Linked DNA regions of Lonchura striata. The protein of the gene in region 1 interacts with the protein of each later gene in a pairwise test. Links are inferred from orthologs where the notes say so. Each region holds a gene or a part of one and is shown in the gene's direction. Other genes may lie near its edges.

Region 1 (7,723 bases):
GGTCCCCAGGTGTCCCCAAGTGTCCCCAGGTGTCCTCTTGTGTCCCTGCTGTCCCCAGGTGTCCCCAGGTGTCCCTGCTGTCCCCAGACGTCCCTGCTGTCCCCAGATGTCCTCTCGATGTCCCCAAGTGTCCCCAGGTGTCCCCTTGTGTCCTTGCTGTCCCCAGGTGTCCCCTCGGTGCCCCTGTCCCCAGGTGTCCCTGATGTCCCCTGCTGTCCCCTCGATGTCCCTGCTGTCCCCAGGTGTCCCCAGGTGTCCCCTCACCAGATCGTGGGGTAAATCTTCTTCCTGGCCAGGTCACCCTGTGGGGGGGAGGGGGAGGGGTCGTTCAGGGGTGGGGGAGGGGCGAGGCCAGCGCAGGGCGGGGCCCCGGCCCCTCCCCCACCCCGGAATGTGCTGAGTCAGCGCCGCCGCCCCTCCCCCCCCTTGTTTAATTGGAGGTGTTGGGTAACGGGGTGGGGGAGGGGCGGAGGAGGAAGTTGGGGTGCGGGTGGGGGAGGGGCGGCCCCGCCCCGGCCCCGAGGGCTGACCAGGAGGGGGTGGGGGGGTGGGGCACCCCAACTTCTTCCCCTCCCCTCCCCCACCCCTCCACGCCCTCCCCCGGAGGCAGCGGGTGGCCGCCCCTCCCCCATCCCCCAAATAACCCCAAATCCCCCCAAAGAACCCCAAATCCCCCCAAATAACCCCAAATCCCCCCAAATAACCCCAAATCCCCCCAAATAACCCCAAATCCCTCCCAAATCCCCCCCAAATCCCCCCCAAATAACCCCAAATCCCCCCAAATAACCCCAAATCCCCCCCAAATAACCCCAAATCCCCCCAAATAACCCCAAATCCCTCCAAATCCCCCCAAATACCTCCCAAATAACCCCAAATCCCCCCAAATTCCCCCAATTCCTCTGAACCCCCTTCAGTTTGCCCCAAGGCCCCCCAAAATCCCCCCAAACCCTTTTAACTTCCTCCTCAACCCCCCAATCTCCTTTATTTCTCCCCAAATCTCCTAAATCCCTTTATTGCCCCCAAATTTTTCTTCCACCTCTCGATATCCTTCCACTTCCCCCCAGATTTGCTTCCCACTTTTTTGCTCCTCCGGCCCCCCAATTTCCCCCCAACCCCCTCAATTCCTCCCCCAATTCCCTTTATCCCCCCAATTCCCTTTAACCCCCCCAACCCCCAAATTTCTGTCCCCAACCCCCCCAATTCCCCCCCAGACCCCGAATTCTGCCCCTTAGCTCCTCAATTCCTCCCCCTGAACACCAAATTTCTGCCCCTAACCCCCCCAAATCCTGAATCTCTTCCCCATACCCCCTCATTTCCCCCCCAAACCCCCAAATTTCTGCCCCATAGCCCCTTCAATTGTCCCCAACCCTCGAATTCCTGCCCCTAACCCCCCCAAACCCCGAATTCCTGCCCCTAACCCCCCCAAAGCCCCGAATTCCTGCCCCCAAACCCCCAAATTCCTGTCCATAACCCCCTCAGACCCCCAAATTCCTGCCCATAACCCCCCCAAACCCCCGAATTCCTGCCCCTAACCCCCTCAGACCCCCAAATTCCTGCCCCTAACCCCCCCAAACCCCCAAATTCCTGCCCCTAACCCCCCCAAACCCCCAAATTCCTGCCCCTATCCCCCTCAAACCCCCGAATTCCTGCCCCTAACCACCCCAAACCCCCGAATTCCTGCCCCTAACCCCCTCAGACCCCCAAATTCCTGCCCCTAACCCCCCCAAACCCTGAATTCCTGCCCCTAACCCCCCCAAAGCCCCAAATTCCTGCCCCCAAACCCCCAAATTCCTGCCCCTAACCCCCTCAGACCCCCAAATTCCTGCCCCTATCCCCCCCAGACCCCAAATTCCTGCCCCTATCCCCCCCAAACCCCGAATTCCTGCCCATAACCCCCTCAGACCCCCAAATTCCTGCCCCTAAGCCCCCCAAACCCCGAATTCCTTCCCCTAACACCCCCCCAAACCCCGAATTCCTGCCCCTATCCCCCCCAAACCCCCAAATTCCTGCCTCCAAACCCCGAATTCCTGCCCCTAACCCCCCCAGACCCCGAATTCCTGCCTCTAACCCCCCCAAACCCCCGAATTCCTGCCCCTAACCCCCCCAAACCCCGAATTCCTGCCCCTAACCCCCCCAAACCCCCAAATTCCTGCCCCTAAGCCCCCCAAACCCCGAATTCCTGCCCCTAACCCCCCCAAACCCCGAATTCCTGCCCCTAACCCCCCCAAAGCCCTGCTCTGCCCCGTGGCCACTCACGGAGGCGCCGAGGATGACGAGGACGTGCGGGTGGCCCTGGAGGAAGGCTCCGTCCCGGCTCAGCTCCTGCCGGAGCATCCCGCACACCTGCGAGCGGCTCAGCTCCCCCCCGGCGGCCGGCGCCGCCTCAGCCGAGCCCGGCATCGCTCCTGGGGGCCGGACCGGGCACTCGGGGGGCCGGACCGGGCACTCGGGGGGCCGGACCGGGCACTCGGGGGGCAGGTTCGGCCACCCCGGGCAGGGATTTGGGGAGCAGAGGAACAGGTTCGGCCAGCCCAGAACAAGATTTGAGCGGTTGCGGGGCAGGAAAGGGCAGCCGGAGGGACGGGTGGGCACTTGGGGGGCACAGCTGGCACTTGGGGGGGTGGGATGGGGCACCTGGGGATGGGGTTTGGGGGGTTTGGGGTGGGATGGGGCACCTGGGGATGGGGTTTGGGGGGTTTGGGGGGTTTGAGGGGTTTGGGTGGGTTTGGGAGGTTTAGGGGTGGGTTTGGGGGGTTTGGGTACCTGGGGATGGGGTTTGGGGAGTTTGGGGGTGGGTTTGGGTACCTGGGGACGGGGTTTGGGGGGTTTGGGTGGGTTTGGGAGGTTTAGGGGTGGGTTTGGGGGGTTTGGGTACCTTGGGATGGGGTTTGGGGGTTTTGGGTGGGTTTGGGTACCTGGGAATGGGGTTTGGGGGGTTTGGGGTGGGATGGGGCACCTGGGGATGGGGTTTGGGGGGGTTGGGGTGGGATGGGGCACCTGGGGATGGGGTTTGGGGGGTTTGGGGTGGGTTTGGGTACCTGGGGATGGGGTTTGGGGTGGATTTAGGCACCTGGGGACGGGGTTTGGGGGGTTTGGGTACCTGGGGATGGGGTTTGGGGTGGATTTAGGCACCCGGGGGATGGGATTTGGGGGTTTTGGGTGGGTTTGGGTACCTGGGGATGGGGTTTGGGGGGTTTGGGGCGGGTTTGGGTACCTGGGGATGGGGTTTGGGGGGTTTGGGGCGGGTTTGGGAGGTTTAGGGGTGGGTTTGGGGATGTGGGGATGGGATTTGGGGGGTTTGGGGAGGGTTTGGGAGGTTTAGGGGTGGGTTTGGGCACCTGGGGATGGGATTTGGAGCATTAGGGACGGGTTTGGGAGGTTTTGGGGCAGGTTTGGGCACCCCGGGATGAGATCTGGGAGGTTTAGGGGCGGGTTTGGGGATGTGGAGATGGGACTTGGGGGTTTTGGGGAGGGTTTGGGCACCTGGGGATGGGATTTGGAGCTTTAGGGGTGGATTTGGGCATCCGGGAGATGGGATTTGGGGGTTTTGGGGTGGATTTGGGGGTTTTGGGGTGGGTTTGGGAGGTTTTGGGGCAGGTTTGGGGATGTGGGGATGGGATTTGGGGGTTTTGGGGTGGGTTTGGGCACCTGGGGGGCAGGGCTGGGGTGGTTTGGGGCGGGTTTGGGCACCTGGGGATGGGATTTGGGGGTTTTGGGGTGGGTTTGGGAGGTTTTGGGGCGGGTTTGGGCACCCGGGGTGGGGTTTTGGGGATGGGTGGGGCAGGACACGCCCTCCCCCCATTGTCCCCCCCAAATCCGCCCCAGTTCCCCCAAATTTCCCCCCCAGGACCCCCAAATCCCCCGAACCCCCACTGACCCCTCGAACCCCAAATCTCCCCCCTGGACCCCCCAGATCCCCCAAATCCCCCCCATTTCCGCCCTCAGCCCCCCATCCCCCTCCTAACCCCCTCCCCATCCCCCCCAGATCCCCAAATTTCCCCAATTTCCGCCTTCTCCCCCCATTAGCTTCCTCTCAATCCCCCCACGGACCCCTGGACACCCCCAGACTCCCAATTTCCGCCCTCACTTCCCCCCAAACCCCCCCCAAATCCCCCTCAGACCCCGAATTTCCCTCAGATCCCTCACAGACCCCAAACTCCCCCATTTCCGCCCTAAAGCCCCTCACGTTCCCCCTCAGGTTCCCCCCGACGCTCCCCTCCAGGCCTCCATGGACCCCCCGGATTATCCCAGAGCCCAGATCCCCTCACGTCTTCCCGAATTTCCCCACATTTCCCCATTATTTCCCCATTATTTCCCCATTATTTCCCCCCGCACCTTCCCGCTCCGGCCGCGCTCGCGCCGCCTCCCTCACGCTCGCGCGGGTCCCCATCCCTTCACAGAGGCCACGCCCTGTCCCCTTACCCACCAATCACCGCCGAGCTTTCTCCAGCCTCAACCAATCATCGCCGAGGGAGGGCGGGGCTACGCGCGGAGGCGTAACCAATCGGCGCCCTCCGCCCTCGGCGTTGCTATGGCGCCGCCACGACATCGACCGAGGCGGAAGCGCGGCGGGGCGCGGTGACGTCACGCGCTCTCGGCGGAAGCAGGAAGTGGCGGCGGCGCCGCCGCCGGAGCCGCCGGGATCCCAAAAATCCCCGAATTCGGCCCAAAAAAAAAAAATCCCCGAACTCGGCCCCGAAGCGCGCCCGGGAGCCGCCGATGAGCGGCGGGCGCTGGCGGCGGCCCGCAGAGATGGTGCAGCCGGGGCCCGAGGCGGAGCCGGCGCTGGCGGAGGCGCTGCAGCGGCTGAGGGCGGAGAACCGCGAGCTGAGGGGTGAGAGCCGGGCCGGGCCGGGAGGGACCATGGGGGGGCACGGCGGGGGTCCCCAGAGGTGTCCCCGTGTCCCCACTGGGGTGTCCCCAGTGTCCCCCGAGTCCCCTCAGCACCTCCAGGGTCCCCCCCGTCCCCAGGGTCCCCCCAATGTCCCCCCAATGTCCCAATGTCCCCAGTCCGCAATGTCCCCAATGTTCCCCGATGTCCCCTCAGCACCTCCAGTGTCCCCCCAATGTCCCCCCAACATCCCAATGTCCCCTCAGCACCTCCAATGTTCCCCCCGTCCCCAATGTCCCCGATACCCTCAGCACCTTAAATGTCCCCTCCAGTGTCCCCAGTCCCCAATGTCCCAAATGTCCCCCCAATGTCCCCAATGTCCCCAGTCCCCCCCAGTGTCCCCGATGCCCTCAGCACCTCCAATGTCCCCCCCATTTCCCCAGTGTCCCCAATCCCCAGTCCCCGGTGTCCCCAATGTCCCCCCAACATCCCAATGTCCCCCCAACATCCCAATGTCCCCTCAGCACCTCCAATGTCCCCCCCAGTGTCCCCAGCCCCCCCAGTGTCCCCAGTTCCCGATGTCCCCAGTTCTCCTTGATGACCCCAATGTCCCCAATCCCTCCAATGTCCCCAGTCCCCAGTGTCCCCCCAACATCTCAATGTCCCAAATGTCCCCAGTCCCCCCAAAATCCCCAGTTTCCTTCAATGTCCCCCCAGCATCCCAATGTCCCCAGTCCCCCCAGTGTCCCCAGTCCCCAATGTCCCAAATATGCCCCCAACATCCCAATGTCCCCAATGTCCCCAGTCCCCCCAATGTCCCAAATATGCCCCCAGCATCCCAGTGTCCCCAGTCCCCCCAGTGTCCCCAGTGTCCCTAGTGCCCCCAGTGTCCCCAGTCCCCAATGTCCCTCATGCCCCCAATGTCCCCAGTGTCACTGCTGTCCCCACTGCTGTCCCCAGGAGCCCTGTGTCTCTGCTGTCCCTGTGTGTCTCTGCTGTCCCTGTGTGTCACTGCTGTCCCTGTCACTGTCCCCAGGTGCCCTGTGTTACTGTCCCTGTGTTACTGTACCTGTGTCACTGTCCCTGTGTCACTGTCCCTGTCCCCAGGAGCCCTGTGTCACTGTCCCTGTCCCCAGGTGCCCTGTGTCACTGTCCCTGTGTCACTGTCCCTGTCCCCAGGTGCCCTGTGTCACTGTCCCTGTGTCACTGTCCCTGTCCCCAGGAGCCCTGTGTCCCTGTGTCACTGTCCCTGTCCCCAGGAGCCCTGTGTCCCTGTGTCACTGTCGCTGTCCCTGTCCCCAGGAGCCCTGTGTCACTGTCCCTGTCCCCAGGTGCCCTGTGTCACTGTCCCTGTGTCACTGTCCCTGTCCCCAGGTGCCCTGTGTCACTGTCCCTGTGTCACTGTCCCTGTCCCCAGGAGCCCTGTGTCCCTGTGTCACTGTCGCTGTCCCTGTCCCCAGGTGCCCTGTGTCACTGCTGTCCCTGTGTCACTGTCCCTGTGTCACTGTCCCTGTCCCCAGGAGCCCTGTGTCACTGTCCCTGTCCCCAGGTGCCCTGTGTCACTGTCCCTGTGTCACTGTCCCTGTCCCCAGGTGCCCTGTGTCAATGTCCCTGTCCCCAGGTGCCCTGTGTCACTGCTGTCCCTGTGTCACTGTCCCTGTGTCACTGTCCCTGTCCCCAGGTGCCCTGTGTCACTGTGTCCCTGTGTCACTGCTGTCCCTGTCACTGTCCCCAGGTGCCCTGTGTCCCTGTCCCTGTCCCCAGGTGCCCTGTGTCACTGTCCCTGTGTCACTGCTGTCCCTGTCACTGTCCCCAGGTGCCCTGTGTCACTGTCCCTGTCCCCAGGAGCCCTGTGTCTCTGCTGTCCCTGTGTGTCACTGTGTCCCTGTGTGTCACTGCTGTCCCTGTCCCTGTCCCCAGGTGCCCTGTGTCACTGCTGTCCCTGTGTCACTGTCCCTGTGTCACTGTCCCTGTGTCACTGTCCCTGTCCCTGTCCCCACGTGCCCTGTGTCACTGTCCCTGTGTCCCTGTCCCCAGGTGCCCTGTGTCACTGTCCCTGTGTCCCTGTCCCCAGGTGCCTTGTGTTACTGTCCCTGTGTCACTGTCCCTGTGTCACTGTCCCTGTGTCACTGCTGTCTCTGTGTCACTGTCCCTGTCCCCAGGTGCCCTGTGTCACTGCTGTCCCTGTGTCACTGTCCCTGTGTCACTGTCCCTGTGTCACTGTCCCTGTCCCCAGGTGCCCTGTGTTACTGCTGTCCCTGTGTCACTGTCCCTGTCCCCAGGTGCCCTGTGTCACTGCACGCAGTCGCTGCGGCAGCGCCTGGAGGAGCTGCGGAAGCTGCAGCAGCAGCGCCGGGGCGAGCGGGAGCTGCTCTGGGGACGTTGGGGACAGGCCCGCGAGCTGGTGCTGCACCTGCGGGGACAGCGCGGGGACACCCCCGGGGACAGCCCTGAGGACACCCCCGACACCCCCGGGGACGGCAGGGACACCCCCGGGGACGTCGGGGACACCCCCGGGGACGTCGGGGACACCGCCGGGGACGTGGGGGACACCGCCGGGGACACCGCTGGAGGCATCAGGGACACCAAGGACACCCCTGGGGACACCAAGGACACCCCCGGGGACATCAGGGACACCCCCGGGGACATCAGGGACATCCTCACGGACACCAAGGACACTGCTGGGGACATCAGGGACACCCTCAGGGACACTCTCAGGGATCCTGGGGACATCTGCAGGAGCAGCCCTGACGCCAGCACTGAGGTGTGTGTGTCCCCCTCCTCGTGTCCCCTTCCTGTGTCCCCTCCCCGTGTCCCCTCGCTGGCCCCCCAGCTCCTGTGGGGTGCCCCTGATGTCCCCAATGTCCCCCTGATGTCCCCAGTGTCCCCCTG
Region 2 (7,289 bases), on another chromosome or scaffold:
AGAAATTAAATATTTCAATTCAAATACATTTTCAATTCAAATACATTGATTTCTTCCACTCTTACTCCACACTGAAAACCTAAATAGAGGCTTGGGATCAAAAAACATTTAATAAATAGTACAAAGGTTCTGTTTATCAATCCTGTTTTCTTATATTAGATATTGTATATAATATAGTTCTATACAAATGAGCTATCAATTAATTAAATTTTAGCATGGAACAAAGGAAAAAGACCTATGTAATGTAGTTGATACCATAATATCTCACTTTTTCACATTGACAGATCTAGGGAATTAATGACTATATGTTAAATTTCCCGAATACTTGCCTCTATGGCAAAAAGGCACTCAAGCTAGAACATGAATTTTTCAAGGGTGTTTTCCCCACATTGTTCTACAGAACTCAATTTCAGTAGTTTGAGGGGAAGTGGGGAGAGACACAATTAGAATAAAACAGAGCTTAAGAGCCTGTCTAATAAAGTTCATTTGAAGCTTAACTAAGAATCAGTGGATTGGCTATTCTTCTCAAAGAAGCATTACACTCCTTGTCTTTTACTCCCTCTATATGTAACACAGGTTATATTCTATACAGAGGAATAACATTTGTTTTCTAAAGCTGTTGTAGTTTCTTTTGGTGTCATTATCATCACAGGTTTTTTCCTCACAATATATTAAAAAGTATGTATTCTATTTGTTCCAACAGTTGTATGTTAACCATTCCCATGCATACAGGGTTGCCTGTTCATGCACTGCTCCTTTTTTATGCAGGTTAGCCTTTCTCCAGGGTAGGGATCTTCCAGAAACCATTGACATCACTTACAGAAATAAAAAATGTTGCACTGGGTCCAAAACCAGTTTGCAGGCTGCCTCTGCTAAAGTCTCTGTTTCAAAGAATGACTGTCTGCACGCTGTTGCATTTAAGGAAGTTCTTCAGTTGGGTATTTCTCAGTGGAAGTTCCCAGCTAATATTAGTCATAAGCACAAAACCACATTTCATAATCCTGTTGATACTCCTCCAGGCAACATAAAGATTGCCTATACTGTTACCAAAGAGATGAGACAAGCAAATCCAAACTTTTTGTTCCTACACTTTTCTAATGAGTAAAATTAGATTTATCAACTTCAGCATTCAGACACATCGAAAAAGTATAAGACATTACTTTTATGTTGTTTATAGTGCTCCAAATCTATCTGTCTGCATTTTGATTAAATATCCTTTAGTTTCTGGTACCCACAAACTAATTTTGTCTGTTACAACCTATAGGTAAATTACATACTAAGGTTTACATAGGCTCATCAACTATTATTCTTGATGTTGGGAAAAAAATAATCAGCCTCAACTTCCTTCACGCTATGAAACGACAACATTTGGTCTAAATCCACAGTTCTCATTTTCTGACCAGGAAAGGCATTTCAAGATCAAAACATGCTTTTTATTTTGTTAAAGCAGCAAGAGACTAAAAGAACGGTGAAACACCCCAGAGCAACAGAGACTTCCAGCACCCCGCACACTCCTTTGGGACCACAGTCTCAAAGTTCTGGAAAAGGTTTAACATCTGACGTGAGCCACCTAGCGTCTGAACGAATGGCTACATTAAAAACTTGCAACAAACATTTTAACCTCTTTCTAGTAGAAGCCAATTTGCATTTATAAGCTTAGAGAATCATAAAAAGGAATCAGATGAAACCTTTGATGAACTCCAGCCCTTTGCCAGCTGCTCCAGCAGCAGCCTCTCCCGAAAGCAGTGAGTTCCTCCCCGGGCCCCACGCAGTGTAACCAAGAGCACAGTGTTAACTCATCAGCACAGACTGTTAAAATACCATTTCAGAAGTAATGTAAAAAAGCAAACTGTATATAGATGATGTAAGTATTTAAATACACTGATTGACCCACTGAGCACAAACTTGAATTTTCACAATAAAAAAAGTATCAACTTGCTAGTTCCCAATCACCAAGAAAAAAAAAAAAAAACAAACAAAAAAAATCCAAACAAAATCCCCTACCAAGAACAAAAAAACACCCCACTCTAAATTTCTAAACATAAGTAGTCAAAGTAAGACTTTCTCTGACTCTGAACACAAAGTAAAATAAAATATTAAAAACAGAAAGCCCTGCACCACCACTCCCAAAGCCCAGATAAGTGATTTGCAACTGCTTTTAAGATAACTAGATTCCTAAAATCCTAAATAATTTTTATATACACTGATAAGTGCTTCTTCTTTCAGCTGTCTTATGTGGACTACATACAGGAAAACAATCATGCCTTGACAATGACATAAAAGTGTGAAAGATTGATGTGGGGTAGAAATACAGAAAGCTGTTCCTGGAAAAGCTGTAGGGAAGGGAACACAGAGACAAAAGAGGAGAAAGTAAAAAAACAAAGAAAAAGAAAGCAAGATTAAGAAGAAAAGGACATAAAGTAATTTAGTAATTGAGCAAAGCAGAAAATACTCTAAAAGATCAGAGATCAATTTAGCTATGAAATAGAGGTTTTGTACTATTTTCATGGGTATTTTTCTTTTCTTCAATTTAGTTTATTCAAAGGTTGGAGGTCTCTAGGATTATCAAGATGGATTACTTTAAAGGTTGTAAAATATACCTTATTGTATTGGGGGAAGAAATCTAAAGAAAGAAGGCACTAAATAATGAAAAGAGAGGAAAAACCAGCTTCTCCCATGAGAAAGAATATTACTGTGAAAGAATATTACTGATAAAGCACTAAGACATTAATGCATGTTCTTTGAAAAGTCATGTGTGTAGACAGTTGTCAGTATTGAGTTGCTGAGATTGAGATCTTCACAGTAAATTTACATTAAGTACGTTCCAAGAATTAAATAAGCAATTTTTTCCCCTAAAACAACTAACATGCAATGGTAGTATTTCAGAGGTGGTATACATGTTCTGGCTATTTGAATTCAGGTAGCCATAATTTTAGTTGAGGCATGCTTAACCACCAGACAACACCCACTTGTGCTTTTCTGCATATTATCCCTTCTTAAATATAGCATAAGTTAAATTATATTGCATCTGAATTTAAGAAATTCAGGTTATGTTTCAGCTGAGATATCCATTATAATTTTAAGTGCACAACTACTTGCCAAAACTGACTAAAAATGTAACATGTAGAATTAAAAGAGAAACAATAGCCTTTTTTGCCCACACCCTAATTTATTTTTTAAGACCCCGTTGAATGAAACCTTAACTTGGACGTCTCAAGCACTGTCTCTGAAAAAGGAAATTGAATTCCCCTTTCTTGGAAATACGTTAAAAGAGCAAACTCTCTCTGAATCTTAATAATTCATTAGGACCTCACCTTAAGTTCTTAAAAATGGCCAAACAGGAAGTATATTGATAGGCTCATTCACCTCTCTGCCTGTAAGTCTCTTTAGCCTTAGTACAGGCCAAAACAGACCAAAAGAGAAGCTGAAGTCTCTGCAGGAAAGATAAATTATAATATAAATAATCTTCAAAAGAGCACAGAAAGCAACAGCTAGCTATTTCTGTGGCGATGTTTGAGCTCAATCCTCAGGATTCCAAGGGCAGCTGCCCAGGGTAGTAGGTAGGCTGTAATAGGTGGAATGCAAGTTCTGATCCATGAGTGAACAAACCAAAAAGCTCTGCCCTAGAAGAAACACCACAGCTCGGCTGCATGCATATGTTCACTGGGGTTCAGAGACAGATGAGATTAAATGAAAATCTGCAGTGCTTCTCTGCCGCTGGCTCTGTGATGGTATACTGGGCAAGTATGTACAAATGCCTCGTGTTCTCCCATCCTCCTACACACCTTCAGGGAAAAAAAAGCTGTATTTATACACGTGACCTAAAGAGAGAAGGGCTTGTAGCAGTAGCAAAATTAAAACCGTATGTTTCCACTATCATCTTACCTATAGTATTCATTGCCTACATTAAATAAACGCAGGCAGGGAAATGCCTCAGTAGTAACCTACAACAGAGAGAACTACCCTGAGCATGAAAAGTAAATATACTTTTATATACAAATGTAACTACTGTTATTTACAAATCACTCTTAAGTCATGGAAAGACAGAAATAGGAAAGTGCTGTGGACTTCGGGAGCAGCACAGAGGCTGCTTGAGCGGTCTTCCGCAGCCAGGCAGAAGAGGCACTGCCCGACAGCAGAGGCGAGCGGACCGGCTCCCATCCTCGCGCGGGGCGGACAAGGACGGCGCCGTCCCCGCGCGAACCCGGCACCTCCGGCGGCCGCCGCCCTGCCCTGCCCCGACCCGGGGCCGGCGCGGGCAGCGCCCCGTCACAGGGCGGGGAGAGGCACGGCAGGAAGTCGCTTCTGGTTCCTGGGTTAAGGCGCCCGGGCAGGAGCGAGCGCCCTTGCCGGGAGCGGCCGCGGGCTCCGTGAGGCGCTCGTAAGTCTGAGTCGTTTTGGAAACCACGCGCTCCTGGCGCTCCCGCGGGAGCGGCGGCGCTCGGCCCGGGGCCGCACGGCGCACCAGGGCATCCCGAGCCGGGCATCCCGACCGGGGCTGCCGGGCCGCGCTTCCGCCCCCCGCTCCCGGGGCTGCCGCTTCCCGCTCGGCCCGGCTCGGGAGCGGGGCCGGGGCCGCGTCGTTCGCGAGCGGAGGCGCTCCGGGAGCGGGGAATCGGGGGACGGGATCAGCGGGCTCGCTGCCGGGAGGCGATGGCCCGGGCGGGCGAGCGCAGGAGCAGGAAGAGGCGGCTGCCCCCGCGGGCAGCGGCGGCGCGGCGGGGGGAGCGGAGCCCAGCGCCCCGGGAATCGCCGTCCCGAGCCCTGAGCGCACGGCGGCTGCCCAGCTCTAACGCTGCTGCCGTGCCACGAGGGGCTCCTGCTGTGTTAACGACGCATCCGCCGTCGGGCAAAGCAGGAATTGTGTCTACTCAGAAAAAAACAAGGGAAAAAACAAAACACAAAAAAGTTCAATGAGCTCTCAGTATCTCACAAATGATTAACTCAACAGACTTCCAGTTCCCGAGATGATGGCAGTGTAACTTAGAAAATATAGCAATCGAAAATTCTGTTTTGAGAGCAGAAATATGTAGAGTACTTGTGGTTGGGTGGCACCTGTGTTCTCATCTCTCATGAAACTATGGGAGATAGGAAAGTGTATTATGAATTAATGTGCATATACACATGATTAGCTAAAACCTTTCATAATTTAAGGTGGTTTTTGAGGCGGTATGAAAACTAGTATGAAAACTAGTGAGCTGTGAGCTGGGATTGCAGCAGAAACATGTTGCTAATCTTTGTGTTGGAGCTTTTTTGGCATTTGACTAAGAAAATGCATATTACTACTCCTTTTCTTCCCACTACCTATATCAGCAAAATGTTTCTGATTTTAAGCAAGTATTTTAATATAAACTGCAGGTTTCATTTGTTGTTTACTTAGAAGTTTGTTTTACAACATTAGCTGTACCCAGTGATTATCCAGTATACAAGTCTTTACTCAAATATGAAATTCCACTTGTCATTGCCATAGCTCCAGCAGCATAGCACTCACAGGTGTTCAGACTTTCAGAACAACCTCTATAACTAATCTCTTCCTTTAATTCTGTCCCTGTTAAAGATCAGGATTGTCAGCTTTGAGCTGAATTATGTTCCAGCTGCAATTTAGGTACAGCATAACTAATCATAACTAATTTAAATAGCAGGGGTATTTGGGTTGGGGTTTTTTGGTTTGTTGGTTTTTGGGGGGTTTTTTTAGGGCTGTTGGGAGGGAGTTTTTTCCTCCTCATTGGATGCAGGGAGAAGGGTAAATGACAAGGAACAGTTGGCAAATTCCCTGATAAATATTGATGCCTATGGAGGAGAAGCAGGAAAATGAGCCAGTTTTTCTAACTGCAAGGAGTTCTGGATACGAGACAGATAACATAAGAAGCAGTTATTTATTCCAGCAGCAGGCAACCCGGGGTGTGACTACAGAGTAGTTTAATCCAATCTAAATCTAGACTGCGGCAGTCCTGCCCACGGCTAGTCGCATGTTCCCACTGCCTCCTTGTGCTGGTAGTAGTGCTCCAGCAGCCTTGCAGTGAGCTAGCTCCAGTTTTAATTTTGAGATTGGTTTTTTTAGGGGGTTTGTTGTTGCTTTTTTGAGGACGTAGGGAGCTACTTTGGTATACTCAACTGTGTAGCATAGAAGTACTGCTAGCGGTATCAGTAAGCAGCAAAAATGCATGGCCAGAGATGGGAAAAGCTGGCCTATCCTGCTCAGTGCAGACTTGTGACACTGTTACACAACTCTGACTTTGTGTTACAATTCAAAGCCAGTGCTGCTGTTGAGCACAGGAGTTCTGTGTGCCTATTGCTGAGTTCTGTCCCTGTACAGGCTTCCTTGTGTTATCGTGCCATTTGAAGTGGTCTGTGGATCTGACCTGCATTAAAATTAATGTGGAAAAAATATATTCAGTATTTAGTTTTAAACTACATTGGTTTACTGATACAGTTTACAGAAAGGTTTCTCATGCTGGAAGAAAGGGAAGGGTAAGGTCAAAGAAGAATATCTAGGGTATGGGGTGAATATAGGACCAATTCTTCTAGTTAAAATGCCATCTTAAAGTGTCACTAGTAGTGACTTTCAGTGACCTTTCTTTGCATGGAGTCTGAAGTTTAGGGAGCTACCAGTAAGTTATTTTTCCATACCAAGTAGAAAATCAGGCACTGTGCTATAGTTCTGCCTGTTGGATCAATTACTTTTGATACCATCAGTACAAATGACAGCAGCGCTCTTTGTTAATGTTCCCAGTCACAATGAATGACTAAAAGGCTGGAAATTAGGTATAAGTTTTAAATATTGTTGCTCAAATAGAGGTTTGAGTTTGCATGAATGAAATAAAAACTTTCATTTTCTGTGAACTGTGAGTCACATGGAGCTGATCCCTCTTCTCTCCATTAGAAGCTGAACATAGTTTCTTAGATCCCATTGCACTCATTTTTTGAAGTTATCTCATATGTATAGGACATGCCATTTACTAGGTAAGTTGTTAACAGTGGAGGATTTCAGAAGAGTACAAAATCAATACTGATGCAAACTTCACGAGCTTTTAAAGATTGTGAGAACACACTTCCAGTCACTTTCAGCTATAACAATGCCCTCTGCAGTTTAGCACCTGTCCCTCAAGGCAGATACCTTATTTTATTAATTGAATTACACAGAACAGTCCTTCATCTGAAAAGGAAAGAAAGCCTACCCATTTCATTAAAGATATGCCCTAGATATGAGCATGAATATTCTGTTTATTGAAGGGATACTGTTTGGGGGAGGAAGGAGATGGATGAAGTAGCCTGTGGTACTAACAATG
Region 3 (7,920 bases), on another chromosome or scaffold:
TTTTGAAAAAGGCAGAGAGATAAGCAGAGTAATTTTAAGCCTTTTGATATTTACAGGTACATTCCCAACTTTTTGGCCATCATATGAGAGTGTGAAGGCTAAAACGCCTGGAATGTGTCTGTAAGTAATCAATGCCTCAAAATGCTGGGGCTTATCTGTAAGCCTTGCTTGAAGGTGTGCACTCAGTATTTGGAAGCTCTCAAAAACATCTTAATGTCTCATTCCCTCAAAACTACATTTTAGACTGGCCAGTTCAGGATATCATAGAGATTGTGTATTGGTTTTGGCATAGGGCAATGGGCAGTGCTGCTGTAGATATTCTTAATATCTGTTTATGTTTAGGGGCAATCTATGTGTCCTGTTTTATTATTATTATTATTATTATTATTATTATTATTATTATTATTATTATTATTACTACTATTTCCCCCCATGGTTCAGGCATTTTTTTTATATTTCCACTCAAGTAGTCCCTGCTTTCTCTTGTAGATCTTCTGTATTCTATCTGTATTTCATAGGGATCCCTTTTTCCCTGCTAACAAATCAACCTGAAGTTTGAAATTTTACTATATCACTTGCTATTGTGCTTAATAAATATTCTGTGGCTTTAACTTACTCTGGTATGAGTAAGCGAAGAATGCTGTCTCCTTCCTCCAAAGCATCAGCTGTGTTGAATAACAGGGCTCTCTTTTCTCCCATTCCTTTCCCATAATGTCATTATTTGTTATTACAATAATCAATTTTTTGAATTTGCAATATTGAGGAGCCAGAAAAAGAAATAAATCAGACAGAGATTATCAATGAAGCTAAAACACTTTATCCTCTCAATAATTTAAGAGCTGCTTTTAATTTTAAAAATTATGCTTCCCCTGCAAGAGATAGAGTATCCATGTTTTCTTCTGACTACTCTGGAGCATTAATTGCTGAGCAGCGTCAAACTTCTGTTTTACCAACACGCTTCAGTCAGTGCAGTGCCAGTAGCATGCATACATAAACCGGAGTACTAGAAGTGCTTTGACTTGGCTGATGATGGCTATGCGCATTCAAACCGGAGTAAGTGCTGATTTGGATGGCTGATTACATACATATGCACATCCTTGGAAAAAAACAATGCAGCATAACTGGTCCTAAATCACTGGTGTGTTTCAGAATAAATGGCATTAATCAGGAGTCGGCCAGCATCTTGTTTGGGTGATGGGGTGTTCCCCATGAGCACCAGGAGCCCTGTCACTACCCTGTGCAGATTTCCTAGCTTGTCAATGCGGTTTAAACTTCAGTGTGGGCTGTGAAAGTTGCTCTCACACCACCGGGTTTTTTTGTAAGTCTCTCTTTTCCCCAGAGTTTAGTCCAGACACAGCTGACATAAACTGGTCCCCTCTAGACTTGAAGGACCCTTCAAGAACCCAACTGATAACAAGACAGATATCAATGACTTCTCAAATTCATCACCTGAAGGCTGCTTTTAGAAATTAAAAACTTTGTGTTCCTATAGCATCTCTAGAATAATTCACATAGGAAGAACGTGTGTCATCTTCTCTAAGACACAGCAGCTTGTATTTTCTCTAGCCAGTAAAAGTAAAGAAGTCCCATCTGGTATGCTGATTCTGCTGAAATCTTTGATGAGGGGAGGAAAAAGAGGAGTTAACCCCTGTTAAGTTCAGTTCATGAAGTTCCCCGAAGACTTTATCCTCTTCCATGAGATTTTATCTGAGTTATATCTACTAAGCAAAGTGTAAAACGTAGCAAATGCAAGGTAAAATGTAAGGAGTAACATTGGAATATGAAATGGAAAGAGCCTTTACAGTGCTGATAGCAATCAACAGAACAAAGTATGTTTGCTGTCAGTTTAAGGCTTTGTTTGGCTTTTCTGGCAGCTGTATCTTCTGTGGTTAAATAGAGCAGATTTGTAAAATAAATGTGCTCACTAATGGCGTAGTTCCTATCGAATTTTCTGAGTAGTATAAGGTTAGAGAAAGTCCATGTTATGCTGGGTACTGCTGTTAATAAATACTGACTCATCATAAAGGAAATTAAAATACTAACAAGATGCATTTGGAAATACAATTATGTGATTCTCTCCACTGTTATCCAGCAAGGAGAAACCCCAGCAAGCCTTCCCAAATGTGCTGTGGGATCCCTTATCACCACAGAATGCGTCTAGTAAATTGACAGTGGTATTAAAGATACATTTGATCTTCCCCTCCCTGAACAGTCCTGGGAAAGAGAATGAATTAATAACTAAAGCTCTAGAAGACAGGCCTTTTTTTTTTTTCCTTCATGTTCAAGATGGGGAGCTCATTTGCCAGAAATAATAGTATAGACAACTTCAAGAACTGAAGCTGTGAGGGAGCTGTAAGAATCACTCAATCTTGCTTGCTTCACCTTCCTGATGCAGCAGAAAGATTCCTGTTTTTCTGGGCACTGACCTGTGCTGAAGCCCACCAACCTGTCTGTGCAGGGGAGGACAGGACAGGTGGTGGTTCTTAAGTGGTGCTCAGATGTGAATTCTCCCAAATTCTCCCAAAGAACCTTCAGGCCCTGCTGGCCCAGAGAATGAGAGATTTACACTGTTAATCAACTACACTGTATCCATGTAGGCTGAGCCAACAGGAGTCTGGCCAATGAGCTAGATGTGAAATACTTAAAATTTACTGAGTGGTTTAGATTTAGTCAGTTTGAATGCTTTTCTTGTCTGATTTTTGAAGGCAACTTGTTTATCCAAGTGAAGTGTTTTAAGATACAGCAAGGAGCATTGACATCAGCAGAGATCAATGAAGGATGAAGAGGTCTATTTAATCTAGGAAATGAGTGACTTGGGTCTTTGATCCTGTTGCATTCTCATATTCCCAGAAGGTTAAATTTAGTCCTGCATACACAAATTCTGTTTGACTAAGTTTACTTAGGTTTTAAATATTTGTGGCTTTCTTTTGTTTAGGTTCTCTTGTTATACAAGAAAAAAAACCCAACTGTTACCACATAATTAGGCTGTTGCTGTGTAAGCATGTGTAGCTCTTTTCAGACTTGAGAGCAGAATATGCAAATTCAAACCCAAATGCATTTCTTTAAACTTTCATACAATATAAAAGAAAAGGAAAACACCCTCTGACCCATTGTATACAAACGAGCCTCTGAAATGACATAGGGAAATGGCTCAAATTTGTATTAGCAAGAAATAAGTCCTGTTAGTCTCATGTTGCCTACAATACTTCCATTTTCTAGAAGAAAACCTTGTGGAGCCTAATACAAAGGTGTGCATTTGGTTCAAGATATAAAAATGTAGAGAACATGAGGATAAGCTGAAGTTTCTGCTATGCTGAAAGACAATATCAGGAAAATTTTTCATAATCCCTTGTCTAGGAAGGTTAGTGGCTTTGGTGTAAAATAAACAGAGCTCAAAGCAAGAGGGTTTTTTTTATTATTTACATTTATCTTAACTCCAGCAAGCTATAGCAGGTGCTAGCACGAGATGAGCTTCGGCGCTTCTTGCCACAGACTCGCTCCACCATGTGTCATCAACCACGAGTTTTAAAAGTGCCTGAATTGAAATATCCATTATGACACAGAAAATAAAATCGAAAAAACAGGGAGAGGAAGGAAGTCCCATCAGGGAGGTAAAAGAACAGCCCTTGCTTCCTTGCACATCCCTCTGCCCCCAGCTGCTGCCACACTCCCGCTCCTCCGTGTGCGAGCCGGGCCGAGGGCGGCCCCGCACGCCCGCGATGGCTCCGGGGCGTCGCTCCAAGCCCGCACCGTCCTTGTGGCTTTTATTTTCGTAATATTCAATTTATTTTTTCGACACCCATGCCTCGGGCTGAACGGGGGGCGCTCCAGGGGGCGAGTGCGGGGCAGCTCCCCGCTTGCCGGAGCAGCGCTCGGTGCCGGGGCAGCACCGCAGCTGCTCCGCGGCCGCCGGGCAGGTGTCGCGGCGGCCCTCGGACCGCACCGGCGGGGAGACACCACGGCGGGGAAAAAAAAAAAAAAAAAAAAAAAATTAAGTTTAATAACGAAAAACTTAAATAACTAAAAAATAAGCGGCGGAGGGGTGGGTGCCCGTGCGCGGGAGCCCCGCCGCAGCCGGAGCGGTCCGGCGGGGCGGAGCGGCCCCGCTGACCCCCGGCCGGGCCGGTGCCGGGGGCGGGGAGCCCGGGGCGCCCCGCGGGCCCCCATTGGCCGGCGCGGCGGCGCGGCGGGGCCGGGCCGTGCGGGCCGGGTCCCGGGCGGAGGGGCCGGCCCTGCCCCCGCGGCCGGCGGCTGCCCAAGGTTTAAAGTGAGAACTTTCTGCGGGCGGCGCCGAGCTGTACAGCCCCGCCGCCGCGTCGCTCCTGTCCCGCCGCAGCAGCCGCCGCTACCGCCGCCTCCCCCGGGCGGGCCGTACAATCCTCGGCAGTGTCCTGAGACTGTACGCCCGCCTCGGGGGCGACCCGGTCGAACCGGACCCCGCTCCTCGCCCGCGGAGCCCCGCGTCCCGCGGGCAGGTGCTGAGCGCGCCCCGGCCCGAGAGGCGGCGCAGGAGCCGGCAGCAGCCGCCGCGATGACAGCTGACAAGGAGAAGAAAAGGTGAGGGGCCGCGGGCGAGGCGCCGCGCTGCTCGGGCCGCTGCGTCCTCCTGCGGCCGCGGGACTCCCCGCGGGCAGGCGCCGAGGGGGCGCTGCCCGAGGGGGCACCGCCGGCGGGACGGGACGGCCTCGCCTCCCCCCGAGTGCGGCGGGACTGAGTTAGTTCGCCCAGCCCGGGCGGGGAGAGGGCCAGGGGCGCAGCGCGGCACCCCTTGCGGTAACCCGCGCTCCGTCTGGGCTGGGAGCGCTGCCCGGGGAGCTGCCCCCGCCGGGCGGCACCGCGGCCGGCAGCGCGCCCGGCCGCGGCCCGGGGAAGGCGGCCCCCGGCCGAGCCGGGCGGCGGGCAGGTGCACCTGGCAGGCAGGGCCAGCCAGCCGGTGTGCGGCCAACGTCATGTACGCCATGGCACGGCTTGGTACCAGCGAGGACAGAGGTAGTAGGTAACTGTTTTTCACTCGAGGACGGGGGTTTTGAAGGTAGCAGCACTCTTGGCAAAACGTGGTTTATAATCAAAGTCGCGTGGGTGAAACTGACAGGCTGTGTAAATATTTCGCCACCTCCTCGCTCCAGTCTGAGACGCTGGCCGCGGTGCATCTCCCGCGGTTCGCGGAGCTCCTCGGCTGCCAGCGGGTTTTCCCGGAGGGTCGAGAGCTCCAGGAGCGCCCAGCGCCTCGTTTGCTGCTGCCCTTCGAGAGGGATGTCAGGCTAGACATTCCCACACTGCCGGAGCGACCCTTCCAGCGGGAATCAAAGTAACGCACTGGTGGTTTTGTAGTTCATCGAAGAGTTGGTTCTTGAGAACAAACGTCAAAATAAAAGTCAGCGGTCCATAACACAGAAGTTACAGGTGGAGATTAAGAGAAGAATTATCTACTTATTGCTCCAAAGTTATAAACAATTCCTATGGATGAGAGAGGGCACGGGCATGGGGAAAACTAAGCAAGTGAATAAAGGTCTGTGAAATCCTGTGAAAGGATATGGATGCAGTCTGTTTCATACAGCAGGCAGTTACAAGGATCCGTTGATTATCGGCACAGGTTCTGGCTATAGATTCTCTATAGAGATGTGGATTATAGACTAAGAATTTTATGTTGCTAATTTGTCGTGCGTACTATCCAGTTGACCATGCAGTAAACTTTAAACCCTGGGTTTTTGTTTGTGTAATAGCTCCTTTTTTATTGAGTCACCCTATGACAATATAATAGGGGAGGTGTAGTGGTGTAAATCATTCCTTTTCCCTCTAGTTTTGTTTTCCTCAGTTTACTGGAAACTAAGGTTAAACAGTTAAACAGTTGCTTCAAGTGTATTTTGTTTTAGATAGAGTGAAGAGTAAAAATATACGTACATTTTGTGTCTTATGTTGTAAAAGTAAAAATTATTGTACAGTACAATGTAGTTAAAAATGTGTTAGTTTATGAAGCAAGAGGATGAAATAGTGTATATCTTGGAAATGCACTGCATTCATTGTATTACCTCTTTTTAATGGGGCACTCTTTAATCTCTTCAGTTTTAACCTCTTTCAAGCAGAGTAAGGGATTGAGCAGTGTCTAATCTTGCAGGACAGCAGACTGAAGTGGTTTGGGGAAATACTCTTCAGATACTACACAGGCTTCAGAGGACTGAAGTCTGAACCCTGATCCTGACTCTGTCACTGCTTTTGAATATTGTGACATTCAGTGACAATTTTTCTGTTTCTCTCAGAAGTAGGCTAATTGTTATCTGGTTCATGGGATTGTTGCGTAAAATAATGTTTGTGGAAGAATTGGGAGAGTGTCATATGAGGGACTTCAGATAGCTGGCTTGTGCCTCCCTGTCAGTGTGCTGTGGATATCCCCACTGAGGATGTACTCTATGTTGCTCGCTAAAACAAGATAGTTTTGCTTTCTTCATTTTCCTGTACTATTATAGAGTAGTTTTATTGCCTTGAGTTTGACAGTTAGTATATTGTTTGCTATATTTTCCGGAACAGAATAGATAAGACACAGCAGCCCAAATTGCGAATAGCATTTATAAATCACTTTCATGGAGAAAAGGTGGGATGATGTTACCAGATTTCCAGGCAGCTCTGAAACTATGTTGAGGAGCAGTTCTCTTACTGTCAAACAGATGTTCTAAGTAGGATAATCTTCATTTAATAATGATTCATTTAATGGTCCGTTTAAGTTGAAGAACATCCTCAGGTCCTCATTTGAAGCTCTGTTTGCCAGCAGAAAAGAGCAGTTGCTTTATTTAGAACAAATGTTATGGCACTTTCAGTAGGCTGATTTCCCACCTTTAAAGTTAGTCCAAGATCCAGAGTTGAGATTAATATGATTGCTCTTTTGATTTAAAAAAATTATCTAGACAGTATTAGATCCTCTCTTAGAATGCCAGTAATTAGGAACTGGGAGAAGGAGAAATAAAAGGGCATAACACATTTTAGCAAATAGTAAAAGCAAAGGGAAAAGTGTCTGATCTGTACAGCTGTGCAGTACAATGACAAGTAGTAGGTAAGTCCCAATGTAATTAGAGTAGCCTGATACAATATCTTGTCGTGTTTTTTAGTGATTTTCAAGACAGTTATTTTGTTAGGACTGGCTGCTGTGTTAAATGAACAGCTCTGGATAGACAGCAGTGTCTATTTGAGAAAAGTTTGAAACCAGGCTCAGGACAAGCCCCAAGTACCACTGAGAAGGATGCATTATTTGGCTTCACCTTTTCAGTTGTGTTGGTACTTGGGAATTCTGTGTTTGTTTTCCAGTTTTATGAAAAATAAACCAATTTTGCAGCTCAGGGTGTGCTAGTGGTCCCCATGTAATTGCACAATATATTTTGTGACCATAACCATATAACATTACAAAAATCCATTTAACTTTTTCTGGCCCAGATAGTAAAGAAATGGGATTGCCCCCAGTTATTGTCTAGGTAATAGACTGCTTTCATTTACCCTTTTACTTTGGGCTTTATTTGATGTTGAGCCCCTCTAATGAGATGCTTTGTGCCTCAATTTTTGCTGACCTTTTCCTTCAGGAGAGTAGTTTTGCCAAGCTGAAGTCACTCTTGGCTGTTCCTCCTCAGGATGAGGAAACTGTCCTGATGGCACAGCTCTCCAGAGCTCAGGTAGTTAATTGCTTGTAATGGATATAATTTGGATGTCAGGAAATGTGAGCATTTGGATGTGCCAAGGTGTTAAACTGGAGATTTCAAGAAACATACAGTCTGTTTTGTTCTCCCCAGGACATTTTCTGTGTGTCACTACTTCCAGGTATGCTCCCTATTGCCTGTGCTGTTGGTGACCGATGATCTTGTCCATTCTCTTGCCAACTTGGGTTTGTTCTTACACTCTTTTAAACCTCACTTTATGTACTTTAGCTGATGGAGCTTT
Region 4 (7,376 bases), on another chromosome or scaffold:
CAGAACTCCACAGAACAGCACATGGGGTTTAAATACAGCTGCTAGTTCTGGTCACATCCCAGCATGATCTGACCACTCTGCCTGATCCCAAACCTTCGGTATCACAGTTCAGCCAGTACTAAACCTTCAATATAAATGAGCTTTCTCGTGCTGTGGATAATGTGGTTTGAAAAGACTGTCCAAAGGATTTTTTTTTTTTTTTAAAGCAGGCTATCCTCCAAGCCAGTACTCCATCACCTGTTATAAATGCTGTAACTATAATGGCAGTGCTTCCTAGAGGAAACTTCTTTCATGAGCAACAATGACTTTTAAAGAGGCTCTTGTTAAGCTATTCAGAAGACTCTGCAATTGTCACTGCGTGTTCATCCCAGTGATACTCGCAAGAGTTTTGAAGTCCACTGTGTTATACCTCCTACTGTAAGACCTTCTTTTGTGAATCTATAAGCAAGGTCAGCTATGAGATCAGACAAGATGACTTTAATTAGTCCAAGTCTTAAACTTCCAAGGATGGAAGAGTTTAATTTATACTGTCTACTAAGACAATAACTTAAACTGTATTTACTGTTGTCTCTTTCTTTTAACAAGCAATTTTGTTTATATAAAAATGCCAGCTACTTGTACAGAGCTAAGTAATTTTCAAAAATAGTGTTTTTCTATTAGTATAGATCACCTCACCCTGTTCAGTTAAACCTTTTCTTTAGGCAGGTTTTCTGTCTACTCTTTTCATATATGAATAACACCATTATTCTATTGTTCTCTTATTTCATAAGCAGATGATTGTAAAAACTGGTTGTAAGTATTAAGATCATGTATGAAAAAGGGTTTTGTAACAGGTGTAGGTGCTTTTTATTGCTGTTAGGAATCAATGCATTAAAGAACACTTATAGATGGAAGTAAGGCTGTATGCTCACGCTATAGTTTATATTGAACTTTGGACAAATGTACGTACCAGGATAATTATAATATAGGGATTAGAAAACCTTTCACAGTAAGTATGAGGCTAACTGTATAACAGAATGGTGCTGTGTATTAGAATCCAGTTTTGCTGATCACCAATTACTACTATTGGTAACTTTGGACTGCTTTTCCACCACTTCCTGAAAGTGCCCTCAAGAAATCTTAGTGCCTCTTTCATATATAGTGAGCTTGATATACTCAATTTATCAGATCTGCTTCAAGTCTTGCACATAAAAAGTCTGTTTGCTCATACTCCTGAATGACTTTGGTCATTGCAATTAAAATGGTTGTATAAGCCTAACTTACCTGCATCTTTGCACAGGAATCTGACCAAAAAAAATACCCATGTGCATATGGTAGAATTGAAATTCTTTAGAGATGCTCAGTGAGCACATCTTTTATCTCCTAGCATGATTTCACTGGCTGTGAATATGTTCTAAGCTTACAGCCCATTCTGTATGTGCTGGAGCCACATGCTAAATGGAAGTAATGCTTCAGTAGCTACTATGAACTCAAAATCCAGATGACATATACTTTTTAAAGCTGAAACTTTTGGCCTAGATTTTTTTGGCTTAGACTTTTATTTTAATATCATGTGACCTGAGATTCAAAACCCTTTTAAAATGGTGGTTTCCTTCAATACACATGCTTTAGAGCATTCTCTGTGTTCTTACACTGGAGACATATGTAAACATAGGATATTTCAGTTTAGCATATGCTCACCAGTGATCAAAGGAGAATGTCCTCCTAGTTCTGATGTCAGTATTGAATAAGCCCTATTTAAATGGCTAAATATCCTTGACTTCTTGAAATGTCTTATCTTTGTTCCTTCCTAAATGTTACATATTAAAGTGATTAGTTTTACCAAATTAATACAATCTAAAATTTTTATAGGCTGTTGCAAACAGGATTTAGTCCAGTGTAGGGCTATTTGTGTTAGCTGAGAGGATTCTTCAGAATGCATTTCCACTGTATTGTCTGAGGCTACTCATATATCAGAAGGTCCCCAGCTGTATAAATATTTTTGAGATTGATAATAGGAATGTTCTTCTAATGGAGTGGGCAAGAAAAGATACACTAATTGTTGAGAGAATAAAAACATGTATTGGTCAAACTAAAGAGGAAATAATAGAATTATTTTGAAAACTCATTTAAAGAAGTGGAGGGGGAAAATAACTGCTGTAGATTTAAACTAGGACTATGTTTAAAAATTTGTACCACAAATTCAGCTTTCATAGCTTTTCAGCTATATAGATACTGCCTTAGAGAAGAAATACCTGAAATTACTTCCTTAAGAAACACCTGATTCTAAGAGCCTTTATGAAATTATCTTCTAAGAACAGTAGCTTTAAAAAAATTAGAAATATGCAGTTTAGTATGGACCATATAAGAATTTAGTAACATATTTCCTTCCTCATGTTCCTGTTCAGGCACAAATAATTGACTGCATTTGGGAAGTGTTAAAACTACCTTTTTATGAAAATGGTTTCTTTGACAGATCAGTCCATTAAAAACACCCCCCCTCCCCCACTGAAATACACATTTGAGAAGGTAACTTCAAACCATATTGAAGAATAAAGCTTTTTAACTGTGTTTACAGTCTTTGCTTTATAGAAGACCCTAAAAAACTGTTTCCTAGCTTTCTTGCTAAATATTATATTTTGGTCTTCAAACCAAGCCACTCACAAGAATGCACTTCCATTTCCAGAAAGCAGATCACCTTCCTTTTCCTGCTCTTTTCCTATGTCTTCATATGCGGTGTCTTCACTAGTAACTGGCCCTGAAGGTTAATTTTGAGGAAAGCTGCACCATTTCTATATTCCCTCCCCCACTACTACTAATCTCTGCTGAAAAACATAAGAAGGGGTGAGAGAGAATTTGTTTTTTTCCTTTCTTAAAAAAAAAGTGTTTAATATCTGAACCCTTTTTCAGATATTGAACACTTTTATTATCTGAAATGCTTGTTTTTGTAAAAGGTGTACTCTAAACTCAGCATGCTCTCTAATGACATTTTGTTGTTTTGTTTTTTTTTACAAAATGCATCTTTTTAATTTTTCATGTGGGAAAAATACCTTATCTTATGGAAACACTTCCATATCAAAGCATGATATCCAAGTTTAGTGCTCTCTAATGAATTTGATGCTGGGTTTATCTCAGAGAAACTTGAAGTTAAGTGGAAGGGTACATTTGTAGATGCATGAGGTAGTTTTTTTATTAGTTTGCTGATGTTTTCTTTTTTGTTTGTTTTTGAACAAGAAGCTGTTTCCATGCTATACAACTGCACCCTGAAGAGCATAACAAGAAATGGATGATAGTTGTCTATAGATAAGTAACTATTTCTGACAGGCATATAATGTAGCTGAATAAGAAGATGGACTACATAGCTTTGCAGATAATTTAAAAATAACAGAGACAGTTCAGCTATTCATTTTAATTTCTCTTGGATGGGTATAGGAGATGTTGAATATTTAATGATTTTTCTTATATCAGTTACAGGCGACTAAACCAGAAAAAAAAAATCTACTGGAATCACGAGGGCCTTTATTTCTGATGTTGTGAGCTGTTTTGTGACTCCTCATTGCCACGATTCTAAAAATAATTTGCCAGGGCTGCCGGTTTTCCCATGTGAAAATACAGTATGGGGGCAGTTTCTGCAGTCAGGGTTTCTTGCACAGAGAACCCCTGTCCTGAATACTTCCGTGACTGATCCATTTGCACTTCAGACGCATCTTTACTGATAGTGCGTCTGCCTTGATTTGTATTTTTTGTGCCGAAGTTTCCTAAGACGAGTCAACTTTCGTCCTCTAACGGTAAAACAAAACCAGAAAAATATTTTTCATTTTTTTTTAAGCCAAACGATGGCTTCTTATTCCGGTGTGATAAGCTTCCAGAAATTCCTGCTCTTCCCCTCCTTCTCCACGTTTGATTCTGCGAGACTTGCAACGTACGGGGGTAGGGGGAGTTTCGCGATGTTCAGCCGGCATTTGTTACTTGCCGGTCAGGGTAACTCACTGAATTTCTAATCTCGCTGATTGCGTTCCTTTGTGCCCCCAATGCGAAATACAATTAACTCGCCGGGGCTGCTCCCCAGGGACTTTCGTCCCTCGGGCCCGGCCTGACGCGGCCGTAGCCCGGGCCCGAGCGCTGGGCCCTGCAGGGGCCGGGGCTGCTCGGTGCTGCCCCGCTTCCTTCCGGGCAGGCGGCATCCCGCCCGCGCTCCATCCCAGCGCCACAGGGACACGGCTCCCTTCCCGGCGGAGCCCTCGGCACAGCGCCGGGCCCGGGTCCCGCTCGGGGCCGGGGTCCCGCTCGGGCCGGGCGGGTCCCGCTCGGGCCCGGGTCCCGCTCGGGCCGGGCCGGGGTCCCGCTCGGGCCCGGCGGGGGCGGGCCGCTCCGTGCCCGGGCGGGGCCGCGGGGCCGCCGGGAGCGGTGACGTGTCCCGAGACCCCGCCCCCCGGCAGGCTATATAAGGGGCGGAGCTCACGCCGTCGGTCTTTTTCGCTCCGGGTTTGCCGCCGTCGCCGAGCAGGTGAGGCGCGTCCGCCGGGCCGGGCCGGGCCGGGGTCCGCTCGCCCCGGAGGCCCGGCGAGCGCTGGGCCGGGGCGTGCAGGGGGCCGAGGGGAGGGAGGGGCCGGGGGTGCCGGCGGGAACCGAGGCGGACGGGCGGGCAAGGGAGCGCGGGGCGGAGGGATGGCGGCGCATCGTTCTGCTCGATTACCATGTGCACACCCCCGTTGTCCGCGCTGAGGGCGGCGGAGCGGCGTGCCCGGGCGGGCGTGGGGCAGGAGGCGCCCGGCAGCCTCCCCTTGCGCCCCGCGGGCGGCGGCGCGGGGCCGTGCCGGGCGGGGCGGCGGGGCCGCCGGCGGGAGGGGGCCGGGGCACGAGTGCAAAAATGGCCGCTCGCCTCGCCGCCCGCCGCCAGCGCCACAAAATGGAGGACGCGGCGGCCCGGGCGGGGTGAGTCACACAAAGGAGCGGGGCGGCCCCGCCCTCCGGCTGCCCGCCGGGCCCGCTCGCCGCCGCCCCGCGCCCCCGCCGCCGCCGGGGTAACTCGAGCCCGGGGAGGGGGCGACGCGAGGGGCGCTCCGAGGGGCCGCGGCCCGCCCGCCTCGCTCCTCCCCTCCCCCGGCGGGGCGGGGCCGCCATCCCGGCCCGGCCGCCCGCGTGCGGCTCCGCCATCGCTGCCCCGAGGCCCGGCCCGAGGCGTAACCAGCTTCTTCTCGGGAACCTGCAGGTGTCGATTCTCTTTTGCCGAAAGAAAGAACTCAGCTAACATCCAAAATGGGAAAGGAGAAGACCCACATCAACATCGTCGTCATCGGCCACGTCGATTCTGGCAAGTCCACCACCACCGGCCACCTCATCTACAAATGTGGGGGCATCGACAAGAGGACCATCGAGAAGTTCGAGAAGGAAGCGGCTGAGGTGGGTGGGCGCATAGCAGCCAGCAAAATTCTGGGCTGCAGGAATGACTAGCCCCTTAATTGAAAAGTGAACCTGCAAAGCCTTCAGTGGCCACGGGGAGGCGGTTCGGTTGCCTCTGCCCCAAGAGCTGAACAAGTGGGTCAGTGTTGCGTGGCCACAGGGCGGCAGCTGCGTTGCAGTTGTCCCCGAGGTAGAACAAGTGTTGTAAGTGTTCCATCTGCCCTTGTGTTAATTGCAGAAACTCAGGTTGTGAAGTGTAAAGCAAGTCAAGAGAAGGTAGTCTAAAGCTACATCTGAATAGTAACATCTCGAATCAGGTTAAATGGCCAGATACAAACTACATAGAAGGATAGTTGATAAAAGTCTTAATTTAAAAATCTGGGAGTTTTACTGATACTGTTCTTTTTCTGTGTAATAACAGCACAGGTCATAAGAACATAGAATAAAATTTGACAAATGTTTATCAGAGTGGAAATTAAGGTGTTGATTATTGCAAGGATTGAAGTAGTAGGAGGACTTAAAATTGTAGAAGATACCTGATAGTAGGACTCAGGCTCAAGAGCTCTATCATAAAGATGCTTTAGTGAAATTAACAAGCTGCCAAGGAGTCTGAACTGTCAGCAAGTTCAATAAGATTCAACAGTTGGCATCTCTCACCAGTAGTGCTAAGCGTATCTTGTTGCTGTTTTTATGAGCAGCAGCGTTTTTCAGTGTTAAGCCAGTTACTATTAATAGATTTTGCTCTTCAGTCAGTGTGATCTTTCTGAACTAGTTGCAGATACAAAACCCCTTCTTTTTAATGGTAATAAAAATGGGTTTTTTTCTGACTGTAGATGGGCAAAGGTTCCTTCAAATATGCCTGGGTCTTGGACAAGCTGAAGGCTGAACGTGAGCGTGGTATTACTATTGATATTTCTCTGTGGAAATTTGAAACAAGCAAATACTACGTCACCATCATTGATGCTCCTGGACACAGAGACTTCATTAAAAACATGATTACTGGAACTTCTCAGGTATGTAAAGAAAGTACGATTTGGGGGGTTCTGGAACGTTGTTCCTTGGTTGCTTAGGGGGCGGTTCCTGTATTACTTTGGCATACACGCAAGCATTATAGTGAGGTTGTTTTTTCTTTTTTTTTTTTTTTCAAAGGCTGATTGTGCTGTCCTGATTGTTGCTGCTGGTGTTGGTGAGTTTGAGGCTGGTATTTCCAAGAATGGGCAGACCCGTGAGCATGCCCTTCTGGCCTACACCCTGGGTGTAAAACAGCTGATTGTTGGTGTCAACAAGATGGATTCCACTGAGCCACCCTACAGCCAGAAGAGATATGAAGAGATTGTCAAAGAAGTCAGCACCTACATCAAGAAGATTGGCTACAACCCAGACACTGTGGCTTTTGTGCCAATTTCTGGTTGGAATGGTGACAACATGCTGGAGCCTAGCTCTAACGTAGGTTTGACATTTATTTCTGTTAAGGCATGAAACTAGGAAGACTGTTAAGTCCAATTATGCAATGATAAAACGCACATTTTGTAATAGTTATGTTTGGGAAGTGCTAAAGTTCAAGATAAATCTTAGCAGTTACAAAAGTTCTTACTCTGCAGCAGTAAATTGAAATGATGCTAAGGGATGCTGCTTGGGCTTTTTCAGGCTTGGCACCATTAAATTTGGCAGTCGGATTAACCTGGGTTTGTTTGCATTACAGATGCCCTGGTTCAAGGGATGGAAGATCACCCGTAAGGATGGCAGTGCCAGTGGAACCACCCTCCTTGAAGCCCTGGACTGCATCCTGCCACCAACTCGTCCAACTGACAAACCTCTGCGTCTGCCTCTTCAGGATGTCTACAAAATTGGTGGTATGTGTTCTCTGGAATGCTGCTCACGTGCCAGCAGCAGCAGCTCTTTTCCAAGTCAAAAATTAGAATTCTTGTCTCGAGTGGGGTTTTTTCCCCATAAGGGCATATATTTACTAAGCTGAATAATAAATAATGCTGTTG

The links.
Region 2: the proteins of IKBKG (region 1) and TANK interact in binary tests that used the Homo sapiens proteins (3 or more experiments, as listed by UniProt). The link is inferred for Lonchura striata from reciprocal best matches to the Homo sapiens genes IKBKG and TANK.
Region 3: the proteins of IKBKG (region 1) and EPAS1 interact in a two-hybrid assay, tested with the Homo sapiens proteins (2 studies listed by BioGRID, with this or other methods). The link is inferred for Lonchura striata from reciprocal best matches to the Homo sapiens genes IKBKG and EPAS1.
Region 4: the proteins of IKBKG (region 1) and EEF1A1 interact in a two-hybrid assay, tested with the Homo sapiens proteins (2 studies listed by BioGRID and IntAct, with this or other methods). The link is inferred for Lonchura striata from reciprocal best matches to the Homo sapiens genes IKBKG and EEF1A1.

The regions. Positions count from the first base shown.
Region 1 is NC_134638.1:2,064,524-2,072,246, forward strand, and holds the start of IKBKG (NF-kappa-B essential modulator), read left to right. Parts: upstream 1-4,719; coding exon 4,720-4,834; intron 4,835-7,113; coding exon 7,114-7,171; intron 7,172-7,315; coding exon 7,316-7,595; intron 7,596-7,723. Other genes in the region: G6PD (glucose-6-phosphate 1-dehydrogenase), read right to left, coding at 265-302, 2,257-2,405, 4,336-4,390. UniProt on the Homo sapiens protein: Regulatory subunit of the IKK core complex which phosphorylates inhibitors of NF-kappa-B thus leading to the dissociation of the inhibitor/NF-kappa-B complex and ultimately the degradation of the inhibitor.
Region 2 is NC_134610.1:16,853,523-16,860,811, forward strand, and holds the start of TANK (TRAF family member-associated NF-kappa-B activator), read left to right. Parts: upstream 1-4,277; 5' UTR 4,278-4,381; intron 4,382-7,289.
Region 3 is NC_134605.1:16,709,108-16,717,027, forward strand, and holds the start of EPAS1 (endothelial PAS domain-containing protein 1), read left to right. Parts: upstream 1-4,911; 5' UTR 4,912-4,949; coding exon 4,950-4,996; intron 4,997-7,920.
Region 4 is NC_134605.1:83,911,965-83,919,340, forward strand, and holds the start of EEF1A1 (elongation factor 1-alpha 1), read left to right. Parts: upstream 1-4,367; 5' UTR 4,368-4,486; intron 4,487-5,191; 5' UTR 5,192-5,238; coding exon 5,239-5,382; intron 5,383-6,215; coding exon 6,216-6,395; intron 6,396-6,531; coding exon 6,532-6,828; intron 6,829-7,084; coding exon 7,085-7,235; intron 7,236-7,376. UniProt on the Homo sapiens protein: Translation elongation factor that catalyzes the GTP-dependent binding of aminoacyl-tRNA (aa-tRNA) to the A-site of ribosomes during the elongation phase of protein synthesis.